4 linked regions of the Arabidopsis thaliana genome follow. The protein of the gene in region 3 interacts with the protein of the main gene of each other region in a pairwise test. Each region holds a gene or a part of one and is shown on either strand. Other genes may lie near its edges.

Region 1 (3,597 bases), on a different chromosome or scaffold from region 3:
AGGTTAACGATGAGGATGATGCTGAGGATGGCAGTGAAGAGGTAAGTTATTTTACACCTCTGCAATCTAAATATCTGTAGTATGAATCAGTAAAGCTTTGTATTAACTCTGTTATACATGTGATGTAGGAGGAAGACGATGATTAAGAAGTTGAAGTTGTGGTAGCGTAATATAGAAGGCTGCAAGGAATCTCTCGGATGTTTTTATCTCCTCTCTTAAAATGTTAATTCGGGTGGTTAAAGTGGTTTTTTTTTTTTTTCTTTTTCTTTTTCTTACTGATGTTTCGTTTTAGTAAACTATTACCTATCTCCCACTGATTCTACGGGTAATGGAAAAAGTGAATGTAGAATGTTTAGATGGTGAAATGAGAGATTTGTAGCTCTATATAATGAATGATTTAGTTTTTAATTCCTCTACGTTTTAATGCTCTTTAGACTCTTTGTTTCTAGTTGATATGAGGATTTATACCCCTGAAAAAAATATTAGTGTAAACCATGTTTTTACTTAAATCATATTGGGGTTGTGAGTCCTATTGCATAATCACGCTCTTAATCAATGTGTTCCACAAAGAGTAAACCATGTTTTCACTTTTTATTTAGTTATTTGACTTTAGACACAGGTTGGTAAAATTGTTTTGAGGCTATACTTGAATTTTCCAAATTACCAACGCCATGATCATTTGGTTCTCTTTTCATCTTTTGAAAAAAAAAAATGGTTTGCATCAGCTTAATTAAGAGTTTCTCTTTGGATTGTATTACTTCGTTTGATTTAAGAAATAAGTAAAAAATTTGATCATTTTTGACAAAAGTGAAGATTTTAGTGAAAATCTGCGTATTAGCAGCAGAATAGTCTCACTTATGTTATAAATTTTTAGTCAACATCTTTATATCAAAGAACCTTTTTGGTCAAATTCGTACATTTTCTTCTTAATCAACTTAGAAAAAGAAAGAAAGCATGCTCTTCTTTTTCCATCAATAGTTTAATCATTAGTCATAAGTCACAACGATAATATTTTATATAATGCTGTGATTAAGCCTTGCTTCCGGCTTTACCTAACCACTATATACATAAAGTAAGATACACAGTTTGTGTTCCTCTACGGATGTAACAACAATACCTGGTTTTAATTAGGTTGTTTTTATATATTAGTGTGGTGTCTTATTATGTCATCAACACATAGGATTAAGATCTTCTTAGATACATATTTTGGATTAGCACATTTTTCTATTTCAAATGGTAGATATCTTGACCCGTAAAACTCGATTAAAATGTTGAAATTCTAACAAAAAATTGTGAATACCGTCGACCAAAATCTATCCTAGTGAAAGGCCATAGTTCTCCAATGTTTTCAATATGTAACCAATGTAATAAACCTGGTAACTGTAAAAATTAAATTGGTCCAATTGATCATTAAACAAAGACATCTTTCCAAAAAGTGTTTGATTTAACGGTAACAAATAAACTAAAGATCCCTTTATTCATAAACAAAAGAATATATATATCATTCACTTTCTCATTGTCTTGTTCATATGGTAAAAAAAAAAAAGGAAAAGGAGAAAAGCAAAGAAATAGAGGAGATGGATAGAGAGATCCAAAACGGTGCGTATAGTGGGAGAGTGATGACTGAGGAGCAGATGGAGATTCTCCGTAAGCAGATCGCCGTTTACGCCGTTATTTGTGACCAACTCGTCCTCCTCCACAACTCCCTCTCTTCTTACCATCCACTCTCATCAGGTACACTTCTCTCTGTTTTTGTTCCTGATTAACAACAATCACTTTTCTATGTATTTGATTTTTTTACAAGAGACCATTTGATGAGCTTCTTTGTATACGGTAGAAGAAGTGTGTAAGACGAAAGTGTTTAAACGCAGCGTTTTTTGCGATGCAAACGTTGTTTCCATTAATACACTTGACCCATTGAGACTTTAGTGTAAAAATGTGAAAATTGTGTTTGCGTTTGGTATACAACTAACGAAATCCAAGGCTTTTTTTTTCCCAGTGTTCGATGCATAACTTTGAATCAAATTTCATAATGTTTTAGACATTCGAAGACAGTTTACCTACCGCTTAGATATCGATTTATCATTGCTAAAGATATTTGTTAATATAGTTTATGATTTGCTTAGATCGAACAATTCAATATATTATTAATGTTTATTTTCTCTAGACGTAAGCTGATTTGAGGGTTATCATGTCGTGGCCGATTTTTAAGAAGCTTGAGTTATTAGTGCTTTGTGGTTTTGATAATACATATTTTGTACATGGAAGAAACTTAAGGGTCACGTCACTTATTTTTTTATAATGATTGAGTGTAAAAAAGGAGTGAGGCCAATGGTTGGCGGATACTTTGATCCGATGGGGGCATCGTCAAGTTCTCATAGGATATCGACTAGGCATCGGTGGACTCCGACTTCAACACAGCTTCAGATACTTGAGAGCATTTACGACGAAGGAAGTGGAACACCGAATCGACGGAGGATTAGAGAGATCGCGACGGAGCTGTCTGAACATGGACAGATCACGGAGACAAATGTCTACAATTGGTTTCAAAACCGGCGAGCTCGGTCCAAACGAAAGCAGCCTCAAACGACGACAGCTAATGGTCAGGCTGACGATGTGGCGGTGACAACGGAGGAAAGGAGGAGTTGTGGAGATTCAGGGGGATTAGAGTCTTATGAGCATATACTCTTCCCAAGTCCTGACTTAGGTAAAAAGATCATTTGAGTTTTTAAACATTTGGTTAGGTTTATTTTTTATTTTTGGTTTGAGTTTGCATTTTTTTTTGTGGTTTCAGGGATTGAGCATTTGTTGAGTATAGGGAAATTTATGGAGACTTAAAATTCGTATAGACTTCGATGAAGAAGATCTCTAATCTATTCTGTTTTCTTTTACTCTGTTTTCATAAAATAGAATTGTGTGTGTTTGTGTGTGACATTAACAACAAGTCTTCAATTTTATTATAATTTTGTGTTCCTCAACTTGATATATATGCCCACATCTTTTTCAGCATCAGAAAGAAAAGTGATGCCATCTTAAACTCGGTTGATATTTTGACCGGTAAATCTCAATTCAAATGACACTAAAGAGTAGAAGCAATTGACCATAATAACCGATCCTAGTCATGACCATAGCTTTTTTCATTGTTTTTAAATTTATTGTTATCACACAAAAAATCATATAAAATCGGATATTGGTTACATGACCACACAATTAGAATATATATCAATTATTTATCCAATTGAATCCCAAAATTACCTCAATTAACTAGTAATTGAAAAAGAAAAAAAATCAGACAATTGATCCTAGTTTGACATCTTTCCATAAATTGTTTAAAGTTAACGGTAACAAATAACTAAAGATTTCTCAAAAAGAAAAATACATAACACCTTCACTTCCACATTGTCTTCTTCATATGGTAAAAAGGAGAGAGGAGAAGGCAAAGTGGTGAAAGAGGAGATGGAGCAAGAGAGCCTAAACGGTAGGTATGGTAGTAGAGTAATGACGGATGAACAAATGGAGACTCTTCGTAAGCAAATCGCCATTTACGCCGTTCTTTGCGACCAGCTCGTCTTCCTCCACAACTCTCTCTCTTCTGTC
Region 2 (4,538 bases), about 16 Mb from region 3:
GGCAACAAAAGACAAAAACAACTGGAACAACTAAAAGAAGGAGGTATCAACAGTACCTTAGTAGCACGAGAACTGTAGCCGATAACCACAACATCAAACTTCTCGAAAAAATCAACACCAAGTGTTGACAAATCACCTGAAATTGAAGACATAGACTCGATGTTACTAAAATCATTTGTTTCTACTAAAATTAGAGAGAAATGAAGAAAGGAGGAGTAACCTTTCTCTATTGAAACATGAACCATAGGGTTAAAATCCTTAAGTGAATCACAACAAATCTCAGCTACGGTTTTGCCTACATAAGCATTTTCATCAGGAAGAATCAAGAAGTTTGCGTTGAAGACTTCCGTTGTAACCAATCGATCATCCAACAGAGTCACACTACCTACTCCTGCCAACACAATGTTCTTACAAAACTGCAACACCAAATGGAGGAAACCAAGTAAGATGCCAACACTCACTCTACTGCAACATAGCTAATAGAGAGTCACAAAATAAAGTAAGAGGTACCTCAGCAACAGTGCCCTTAATTCCAGATACCAAAACATGAGATTTACTCAATCTGCAAGCAAAAACACAAAACAAAATTCAGAGAAGCCCTAATCAAAATTTCAACAGCTAAATTAGCTTAAAACCCAGAAAGAGATAAACTTTCACCGAGTATAGCCCAACAAGAAGAGTTTATTAGTACTCAAACGGAAAATCAATAACTTGTTGTTGCTTGAAGCCATAGAAGTTAGATTCAATGTGAAGTACCTTCTTTGAGCACCAGCTCCCCATACCCTAATTTGACGGTCATAAAGAGCAGTTTCCTGCTCGGTGAGCTCATCTCCGTCCATTCTCGTAGTGAAACCCTAGAACCGACCTCGAAGAGATGATCAAACCCGTCACGAATCTACTACAAGAGGTTTTCGGTGACTCACTCACTGAGTTTGAGATTTTTTGTTAACCGGAAAATTGCTTTCTTTTTATTTATTCAAATTACATGGTTTGTTTTGGTTTGGTCCGGTTCGTCAACTACAAATTTTTAAATTCAAAACAACTGTGCATTCAATAAATAACCAATTTGTTATTTTTTAGGACAATTTATGGGCCGAAACAAATGAAACATGGGCTTTGGACCCCAAATCTTTTAAATCCATCTGCAAAACTTTTAAAGACATGGAAGACTTTTATACGATTCTCCCTGATAATTGACAACTTGTGTGACCCGTAACTATGAAAGTCAAAGAAAATAACGCGTATCGGTGGAAAGAGAGAAGAAAAAAAACAGAAGAAGATGTTGTGTAATGCGAAGCACAACATTCACATGCTATGTTTTTTGCCGTAAACAACTAAGCATCCTATACCTCTTTCTTTAGTATCACTTTCCAATTTATTGTTTCATTTTCATCATCATCATAGTTATAAAAAAGAAAAAACCACATCTATTTTATATCACAATTTGAAAACTAATATATTTTGGATAAGGGTCAGTAAAAAGATACAAGATTTATGAGTAATTTGAAATTTTCAAAAGTATACTCTGTTCATTCATAAAAATCGGATGCTCAGAGTTCAGAATTGATGAATGGCAGAGAAAAATATAAACAAAGAAAAGTTGAAAAAGTAAGCAAAAGAACAATCAACAACAGCTGTCACTTTCCTCCATTCTTTTCTTCACTTTTTCTTACTCAAAGTTTTTAAAAAATGATATCAATAAAACCCTAAATCAGGAAAGTAAAGTTACAATTAAAGTAAGTAAATCATTTCTTAACTTAGTAATAGCTATTATCATCAATTTCTCTCTCTCTTTCCTCTTTCTCTTATTTGCATTATTGAAGTAGCAGCCACACTTGTTGTCTCCACTTTCTCTTGCTAAACTCCATCATCTTCTCTTTCTTTTTTTTCACTTGTCCCATTTTTTTATATTTTCATCTTTCTCTTTTGGAGTTTCTTCTTCTACTGACTCTACTGGTAGGTGTATGGATTTGGTAAGATTTCTCAACCTTCAAACAACAAACTTTTCTTATTCTATAGTTTTTTTTAATGTAATAACATGTTTATAATCTTACTTTAATCTTTCATTTTTATTGCATTTTTTTAATTCTTGCTTGGAATTGAGTAGACAGAAAAAAAGTTTTTTGTTTTTTTTTTTGTTTTCCTTTCTTCCCATTTTGTGGGATCTGTTCTAGTTTCTATGTTTCTGCACTTCTCATTTCGTTTTTTCAGTACAATTAGTTTGCCTTTTTTGGGATTTTTTTTTTGTTTTTTTTTCAATATCAAAATAGATCATTTTGTTAGAGCTTCAACTACAATTTCAGAGTACTCTTTATAATTGTGTTTTTGCTTTTTGCTTATGCTTTTTTATTTTCCTTCATATGTATTGAAGTTGAAGTTTAATTGAGTTAAAGATTCATGGGTTTTATGTTTACTAGTTGTTTTTGCTGTTTGTTCTTAAATTTAGAGTACCAATATCAAAAAGGACAAATCTTGATATTGCTTTGATTGCTGTTGTGTATGTATGTGTTTTTATAGTGAGAGAAGAAAAAAAAGCACAATCTTTGAATGGACTGGAATTTCAAACTTAGCTCTGGTTATTTATCTGGATTCGATCAAGAACCAGATTTATCACCAATGGATGGTTCGATCTCGTTTGGTGGGTCGTCACAGTCAAAAGCGGATTTTTCATTTGATCTAAAACTTGGAAGAAACATTGGAAACTCTTCCTCTGTTTTTGGTGATACAGAGCAAGTGATTAGTCTTAGTAAGTGGAAAGATAGTGCTTTAGCTAAACCAGAAGGTTCAAGAAGCTCGAGTTCAAAGAGAACAAGAGGGAATGGTGTTGGAACCAACCAGATGCCGATTTGTCTTGTTGATGGATGTGATTCTGATTTTAGTAATTGTAGAGAGTATCATAAGAGACATAAAGTTTGTGATGTTCATTCAAAAACTCCTGTGGTTACTATTAATGGTCATAAACAGAGGTTTTGTCAACAATGCAGCAGGTAAGATTGTGTGTTAATGGTTTAAGCTTCTTGTTGGGTTGGTGAAGATGTTAACATTTGTGTCTAATTAGGTTTCATGCTTTGGAGGAGTTTGATGAAGGGAAGAGAAGTTGTAGGAAACGTCTTGATGGACATAATCGAAGACGACGGAAGCCGCAGCCTGAACATATCGGTCGTCCTGCCAACTTCTTTACGGGTTTTCAAGGTTTCTGTTTTAAGAAAAGTTAGTTAGTTTCTTGAATCCAATAGACCGTTCCTTGTTGATGAAGAAGCATTGTTTTATGTTTTCAGGTAGCAAATTGCTAGAGTTTTCTGGTGGTTCACATGTGTTTCCAACTACATCTGTGTTGAACCCGAGCTGGGGAAATAGTCTTGTAAGCGTTGCTGTAGCCGCCAATGGTTCGAGTTATGGGCAGAGCCAGAGCTATGTTGTTGGTTCTTCTCCTGCAAAGACAGGGATAATGTTTCCAATCTCTTCTTCTCCAAACAGTACCAGAAGCATAGCAAAACAATTCCCTTTCTTGCAAGAAGAAGAAAGCTCGAGAACCGCATCGTTGTGTGAGAGAATGACGAGTTGCATCCATGACTCTGATTGTGCTCTCTCTCTTCTGTCATCCTCCTCGTCGTCAGTCCCTCATTTGCTTCAACCACCACTTTCTTTGTCCCAAGAAGCAGTTGAGACAGTTTTTTACGGGTCGGGATTGTTTGAGAATGCGAGTGCAGTCTCTGATGGATCGGTTATATCCGGTAACGAGGCTGTCCGTCTTCCGCAGACATTCCCGTTTCATTGGGAGTAGTAGAAGAAGAAGTAGGTAGATAGATAGAATCAGAAAGATCTATTTGTGTCTCTTCTCTTCTCCCTCATTTTTCAATGTTCTTTATCATCATCATTGTTCTTGTTAACACTACAAGAAATATGGACATTCTTAACACACCGAAAACGCTATAATAACGTTTACATAGCGGATTCATAAACGCTGTGTTTGCCGGAGCTATCTTAGAGTGGTCACATACAATAGCGTTTCTTGCTATGCTATTAAATGTTCACATATTATGGCGTAAAAGAAATGCTTTGATTTCCTTTGTTATTGCACAATTTTGATGTTATACTTTTGTAACTCTTTTTAAGGGCTATAAACTATTATTTTGTAGCTATATTTTATAGGCTATGATCTGATATGTTGTAGCTTTATTTTTTTGGCTATAAATCTATAAACAGCCTATAAGTTTGGGACATTTTGTTACACATTTGCAAGAAACCTCTTTTTGATCAAATTCAATATATATAAAATCTCCATACAAGTCTCAATCCAAGTCTTAACTAACATTACAATAACAAATGCCACAAGTAAAATGATATCACATCTTCTTTCTAACCTTGACTCGCTTCTCCAATTCTTCTCATAATCTTGTACAGTCTTCTTCTTCTCTCCAATCAAACTTCAAACTCGAATAGTGTAAAAATGAGTACTTGAGCAGATCTTACATGAAACTTAGAATTAACATCACTATCTCTTCTCTGAGCTTAAACACTTGATAAACCTCTTCCTA
Region 3 (3,179 bases):
CAATTCTTAGGCTCTAATGGTTTTTTGATGTTGTTGGTTAATAGGATCTGCGTGGATGATGTTATCTAGACCTTTTGTGGATTATTTCATATGGGGATGGGATAATCTTCCTCGAATTGTGTTAATGTATTACGCAAACTTCCTTTCATCGCCAGAAGGTTACTTCCACACTGTGATTTGCAATGCTCGAGAGTTTACCAACACAACGGTTAACAGTGACTTACATTTCATCTCATGGGACAATCCTCCAAAGCAACATCCTCACCATCTTACATTAGATGATTTCCAGAGAATGGTGGACAGTAACGCTCCTTTTGCTAGGAAATTCCGTAGAGATGAGCCTGTTCTCGATAAGATTGATTCGGAACTATTGTTTCGGAGTCACGGGATGGTCACTCCGGGTGGTTGGTGTATTGGTACGAGGGAAAACGGGAGCGATCCGTGTGCGGTGATTGGTGATACGTCGGTTATTAAACCTGGTCTTGGAGCTAAACGGATCGAGAAACTCATAACTTATTTGTTATCTACTGAGAATTTCAGACCACGGCAATGCCGGTAATGGCAAATTAGAGTTTTGTCATAGAGATGGTTACGTGGTTTTTCACACAAATGAACTGTATTGATTATCCGATACTTTGATATGGTTGTATAGAGATCTTTTTGGACTTTCTTCATTTGAGAAAGTGCAGAAATTTCGGGAAAGATCATTGATTATTGGAATTTGTCTTCTATTGCCGACCTAAAGTTTGGCCTTTTCCAACTTGATACCAATTTTATAGGTTTGTCACATATTAGTCATGTCCTTTTTATTGTTTGCATGATGAAGTTACCTGACTATTGTGACTAACATATAGGTGTTTCATTGATATTATTGCTTTTGAATTAATTTGATACATGATTCAATAACTCACATTGATATTGTTGTTTTAAATTTATAGATATACACCCATGTGACTAAGTGCAAATTACATGAGGGCCTATTGATGGTCACTACTCATTCCATGTGACTGACTGGTGGCAAAGATTTGGTTTGAATTTGATTTATCAAATGTTTTGGAAATATTATATTACTCAAGAAGTCAAGATTATATTACTTCTGCTCTGATTTTTTATTATCAAAGATTCTTAATGATAAACAAAAATCTCTAAAAGTCTGACATGTAAAATTTATTCAAAAAATCATCATAGCAGAAGCAAGAAGCTTATCAAATGAACATAGTAAAATGTCACAAAAATATATATAATGGCTCTCATTCAAAGCTGTCACATAACATTAAATATATATTTCATTAAAATGTCACAAAAATAGCAGAAGCAAAAATATATTTATATTTCTAACAAGAATCCATATCGAATACTGACAAATAAACAATTGAGAACAGAGTTTGGTCTAAAATTCTCAGTCACGGTTTCATATACGGACCAATTGTGGCAGTATTTGCTCATCAACTGAAACTGTAACAAAATATCCATATTAGTAAATATAAAACAAAGAAGAAATGCAGATGAATACTTACAATAAGGCCTAACCTCGACCTATAAAAGCCCATTATTAATTTAGGCCCAACGACGTTACGAAGAGAAACGTACGGCACCATTTGGCGCCTTTATTTATAATTTGTTTGTCATGCGTTGTGATTTGGGTCTCTTCTCATCACAAGTCGCAACGCTTAATCGTATCTGCCTAGAACATTTTCTGGTACATGTATGTATAATCGTCGGTGATGGAAGTGTTTCTTCTTCTAGATTCTGCTCTCGCTTCAAAGATCTGATTGATTTGTTTCATATCTTTCCAAGTAACCTCTCTAATTGTTTATCTTTTGTTTATCCCTGATGCAATAAACGTTCCAAGCGGACTCCTGATGCAATAAACGTTCCAAGGTCTCGAAGGTTAGTTTCCTAATCTTTAAGTGTGTTGGTGCTATCGTGGGTTGTTTTTGGGCTACTTGTTGCTTGTCTAAAGATAACTGTAAACTTTCAAAACTTGCGACTCTCTGAATTCCTCTTTTGGCTTGTGGGCGAATTGTTAGTTTTCTTTATTACGTGAATGTGTAGGAACATGTTATAATGTCTGTCTCTATTGTTCTTTGGGTTTTGGTGCAGGCATGGAAGAAGAAGAGACATTATGGCTGAATGTAGGGCATACTTTATGGAAGTGAAAGATACGTTTCATGATCAAATTGAAAAATATGATATGTTCAAGAATATTTTGTTAGATTTGAAGGCACGAAGGTAAGATGATTGCTTTTTTTTTTTTTTTGGTTTAGCCTTAAGGTTTTGATGAGTTTGCTCAAAGAATTTCTTGCATTCACAGGATTGGTCGTCATACTGCGTTTGCTCAATTGAAAGAGTTGTTCAAGGAGCACAACGAATTGATTATCGGATTTAACACCTTTTTGCCAACTGGATACAAGATAGCTCTTGATGATGACGTAGAAGACTCTTTTAGCTCGACTGCAAGAAACTATTGAAATTATCTTGTCATATTTTTTCTACTCAAATGATACGATCAAAATCTCTAAATTAGTCTCTCTATTCAGTTCTTGATGGTTTATCGAGTATCTTTGCTTTGCCATGCATGTAGGAATTTCACTATGATAAAGTTTGACCTTTTGCTATCTTCTTTACGTCCACTTAATTTCTTTATTTACTTAATTTGACCTTCGGCAAAAGCATTATTATCTACTTATTATTTTTTATTCTTAATGAAAAAAAAAACTGAAGTATATATGAAATTTGTAATATTCTAACGAGAAGTTAAAATCATAGATTGAAAAAAGAACTATATTGAGATCATAGTTTGATTGTTACAAATACTAAAAATCATTAAGAATTTCTTCATCATATCGTTGCAGTATTTTCTCATCAACTGATACAATAACAATTCAAAAAAAAAGTGAAAACGATTTTATTCCTTTTTATTAATGTTTATTTTTTAGCTGTCAAATAAAAGAGAGAGCATATTCTACAGAACTTCAGGGATGAAAAAAGGCCTCTTTATATATATAGCCTTACACTATGATCACATTGGTTCTACAGTATGATGTTACAAATACTAAAAATCACAAAGATTTCTCTCCATCATATTGTTGCTGTATTTGCTGATCAAATGTAACCAAAAATATCCAAAAAGTCAAATATTAAAACAAAGAAAATAAGAATAGCGAGATGAATACTTA
Region 4 (3,650 bases), 1.1 Mb from region 3:
TGATAAATTAGTCTTTAATCTTAACATATCGTAGAATAAGAACACAAACAAAAAAAAGTCATCTGTGGAGCTGGCTAATCAGATCTGAATTTATCATAAGCCTTTCTCTTTTTAATTCTAAAATAGAACGAGTTGTATGATATTTGTGTGGCCTATATTGTCTAACAAATTTTTTAAAGTGGGAAATTATGGTCATTAACATACTAATAGATGATAATAAAGTATTGCATGGATGTACATATGTGGCTGTGTATTGTTTGCGTCAGCTTGGACAAGTTGCTCTTGCTTTGTGTTTTCCCTCATTTTTTACCCTAACTCACATTCTCCGTTCCATTTATGTCGACAAAACAAAAATGAATGGGATAGTGAGACTCTAATTTACAATTAATGGTTAAAGATATTTCCTATAATTTTAAAAAAAAAACTTTTTTTGTCAAAGAAAACAAAAACAAAAACATTGAACAGTTTTTTAAATTTTGATGATTTGCATTATTACAATATCATAAAGTTAGTGGACTTTTATTTATCGCTTATTCATTTGATGATACTTACAAAAAAATCACTTTATTTTCCCTTCTTTTCCGACAAAAAAACCCGATATTTATATATTACAAAAAAAAAACACAAATAGAGTTTTGTACACGTATCATTATGGAGCTCACACCCGCTCCAAAAAAAAAAAAAAAAAAAACCTTTCTTAGCTAACACCAAAAAACTCAAAAAAAAAACAAAAACAGCAAAGGGTTTTAAAAACGTGATTAAACAAAACATTATGGCAATGATACAAAATAAACTGTTTTAAACAAAACATTATGGTAATGATACAAAATAAACTGTTAGAGATCCCATGACAAGCCATGGCCAAAATTAGGGCTAATTCCGTGACCATAGTTATCTTCGGACGACTGTCCCCACGGCGGCGGATATAAACAGTAGTCAACTGAGTCATAGAAGACAAACTCGTTCCCAAGGTTAGCCGAGTCGACGTCGTAACTCGCCCCGAGACTTGGAAGCTCCACAATCTCACCGAGCTCCTCCGACTCAGTCCTCGAGAGGTCCATCACCAACACAAGAGACTCGAGCGAAGACGTAGAAGACAAAGACGACGACGAAGACGTGGAAGATGAAAACGACGTCGTCGGTTCCATGTGAGCTGCTTTAAGAGCTGCTGTCTGAATGTCTCGAGGGCTTAATGAAACGGGTCGAGGGAATGAGTCAGCGAGTTCAGGGAAGTTTAGTATAGCGGCCGTTCCTTTAATGCTCAGAGCCGCCACGTCGTGTGCACGCGCCGCCATCTCCGGCGTCGGGAAAGTTCCCAGCCAAATACGTGATTTCTTCCTCGGCTCACGAATCTCCGACACCCATTTTCCCCAGTTCCTCATCCTTACTCCGCGATAAACAGGGTGTTTACCGGAGTCTCTCCCACGTTTAGTCTTCTTCTCGCTTTGCTCAGCTTTGCTTTTGTCACTCACTGAGTCAGACTCCGAGTTAGGGACAAGAAGCTGAGTTACTCTCTCCGAGCGGAGGCTGTAGTATTCCTCTGCCATTGTGTTAGCTTAGGCACAAGTATCGTACAAGTCTATTATTCTGATTGCTTTTTTCGATTCGGATCCCGAGATTAATGCAAATAAAAAGAAATAGCTAGGCTTCAGGGGGAAAAATATATAAGTTTGAGAACTATTCAAAATGAGGAAAAAAAACAGGGCAGTGAAGTGTGATGAAGAAATGAGAGAGAAACTTTGATATGAGAAGAGAAAAATGTTGGTAAAATTTTGGCTATCATTTCTCAGTCACTCAAAATATTTATATATGCATTAATATATTTGGGTACGGGTTAGAAGAGAGGGAATGGGACCAAAAACAATGCAATAAGTCTAATTGAATAAAGGAAATGGACCCAGTGGCTCCATTTATTTTTGTTTTTCTCACAGACCCACTCTATTTCTATATTGTGAATATATTGTTATTAGTATAAAACGACACACTTGGGGTCACTGTTTGCTTTAATATTTTTCCCGGTTCTTAAAATCTCATTATGCAACTAAATTAGGAAAACAAAATACTTTTCAGTATATTAAAAGATTATGAGACGACCATATTTAGAAGGGCAGTGTTGAAAAGAGATTTTGTCTCGGCCGGGTACGTAAATTATATGAAAGTTGTCTCCGAGATGAACATGATGAGACAAGCCTTTTTTGTTTTGTGTGGTAAGATAATTTTCACCTCAGTTTTACTGTTTAATTATCCTTTACCTTGATCTTCGACTCATTGGATCATACATTCCTATTTACATATTGGTATATATATATGCTCATCATGTGAAGGCAATATGTATCCACATATATGATATGCCATAATTGCAATTTAGTTTTGATCAGAATTAATATACATATTATTTACACGGATATAGAGTTATTGTCTTTCAAATTTTGATTTTCTATAAACATATTATATGAATGTCAACAGTTTTTGAAGATTTATTCAGGAAATTTTTTTAGTAAGTATCATATGTTTACTTTAGTTATATATATCGAGGGCTAATTAAAGGAACTTGTCTTAACCAATAAACCATATGCTTCGAGGCTAAATTTTAAATTTTGGAGAAATTTGTAACTGAGTGTTTTTTTTCGAGACACCAAATGGTGTGTGATTAATTGCACAATTTGTACTGATTTCATTTGAGAGGATATTTTATACTTAGACTTGAAAAGGTGTACTAAAGGGGGTTTAACCGTAAGTAAATTGATAATTAATACCTCTGTCCTGGTCTTAGAAAATATATGGGCGTAAGACCCATAAAAGAAAGAAATCTACCAGCCAATTGATATTAATTAGGTTAAAGTTGCTTCCAAACTAAAAAAAAAAGCCCCCAAAATTAGAGGTACAATATTGCAAATAAAGAAAAGAAGTTTGTAGAGGAAACTTCAAGAAATTTTAAGGGACAATAACTTGTTCAATCATGGGGTCGTATTTGCGTACCTATAAGGAAGGACGAGTGTCTGTCAAATATACACATACACTAAAGTCTTTTAATAATCATGCCAAAAAAATGTCTCTTAATGACGAAAAAATAATGTCTCTTAATAATCATTTTGGATTTTTCACAAGTAATAGCAATGTCTAAGTACTTGCAATGAAGAGAATTGTTTGTATTTTCGCCTCTCGTTTCAGCAATACGTATATGCATTTTATATTGATCATATACGTAATACTAATTAACAATAATATTGATCATCTTAAGTTTACTAAAAAAAAAAAAAAACTGGTCAACAAAGGTTTTAGAGTTTACAAGTTTCTAATTCAAAAATTATTGACATGAATATATTGACTCTTGCTTTATATTTATCCTAGTTAAACAGATTTTATGTGAGATTCTTACAAGTCTATTTAAGACGAGAACGAAAATAGTTTAATTGTTTTGAAAATATTGTTAGAACACGAGAACAGTTTATGAAATCAATCGGATTACAAAACCATTAAATAATTTTGAAACCTCTATTTAAAAGTCAAAACTAACTAGTAATGAATGAAAAAATAGAAAAAAAGAAAAATTATTCACTATATTTCAAAATATAAGATGTTTTAATTAAAAAAGAACTTTTTTTTATTTTTAAAACCTTTATTTTATATTTGATTTAATAAAATTCAAC

Evidence for each region.
Region 1: the proteins of AT5G15040 (region 3) and WOX14 interact in a two-hybrid assay, tested with the Arabidopsis thaliana proteins (one large-scale study listed by BioGRID).
Region 2: the proteins of AT5G15040 (region 3) and SPL13B interact in a two-hybrid assay, tested with the Arabidopsis thaliana proteins (one large-scale study listed by BioGRID).
Region 4: the proteins of AT5G15040 (region 3) and TINY2 interact in a two-hybrid assay, tested with the Arabidopsis thaliana proteins (one large-scale study listed by BioGRID).

Annotation. Positions count from the first base shown.
Region 1 is NC_003070.9:7,181,029-7,184,625, forward strand, and holds WOX14 (WUSCHEL related homeobox 14), read left to right. Parts: upstream 1-1,529; coding exon 1,530-1,734; exon of another isoform or gene 1,735-2,301; coding exon of another isoform or gene 2,302-2,320; coding exon 2,321-2,707; coding exon of another isoform or gene 2,708-2,724; exon of another isoform or gene 2,725-2,794; coding exon 2,795-2,838; 3' UTR 2,839-3,028; downstream 3,029-3,597. Other genes in the region: HMGB3 (high mobility group B3), read left to right, coding at 1-41, 129-165; WOX10 (WUSCHEL related homeobox 10), read left to right, coding at 3,457-3,597. UniProt on the Arabidopsis thaliana protein: Acts redundantly with WOX4 downstream of the TDR/PXY receptor kinase to regulate procambial cell proliferation and differentiation in vascular tissue, independently of any role in vascular. Involved in the regulation of gibberellin (GA) biosynthesis pathway.
Region 2 is NC_003076.8:20,615,143-20,619,680, reverse strand, and holds SPL13B (Squamosa promoter-binding protein-like (SBP domain) transcription factor family protein), read left to right. Parts: upstream 1-1,617; 5' UTR 1,618-1,973; intron 1,974-2,142; exon of another isoform or gene 2,143-2,517; 5' UTR 2,518-2,547; coding exon 2,548-2,987; intron 2,988-3,058; coding exon 3,059-3,192; intron 3,193-3,278; coding exon 3,279-3,784; 3' UTR 3,785-3,977; downstream 3,978-4,538. Other genes in the region: SAE1B (SUMO activating enzyme 1B), read right to left, coding at 57-136, 221-416, 511-562, 757-839; AT5G50665 (uncharacterized protein), read right to left, coding at 4,513-4,538. UniProt on the Arabidopsis thaliana protein: Trans-acting factor that binds specifically to the consensus nucleotide sequence 5'-TNCGTACAA-3'.
Region 3 is NC_003076.8:4,869,200-4,872,378, reverse strand, and holds AT5G15040 (Paired amphipathic helix (PAH2) superfamily protein), read left to right. Parts: upstream 1-1,637; 5' UTR 1,638-1,890; intron 1,891-2,103; 5' UTR 2,104-2,125; coding exon 2,126-2,232; intron 2,233-2,314; coding exon 2,315-2,471; 3' UTR 2,472-2,625; downstream 2,626-3,179. Other genes in the region: AT5G15050 (Core-2/I-branching beta-1,6-N-acetylglucosaminyltransferase family protein), read left to right, coding at 45-559.
Region 4 is NC_003076.8:3,726,953-3,730,602, forward strand, and holds TINY2 (Integrase-type DNA-binding superfamily protein), read right to left. Parts: upstream 1,775-3,650; 5' UTR 1,548-1,774; coding exon 837-1,547; 3' UTR 501-836; downstream 1-500.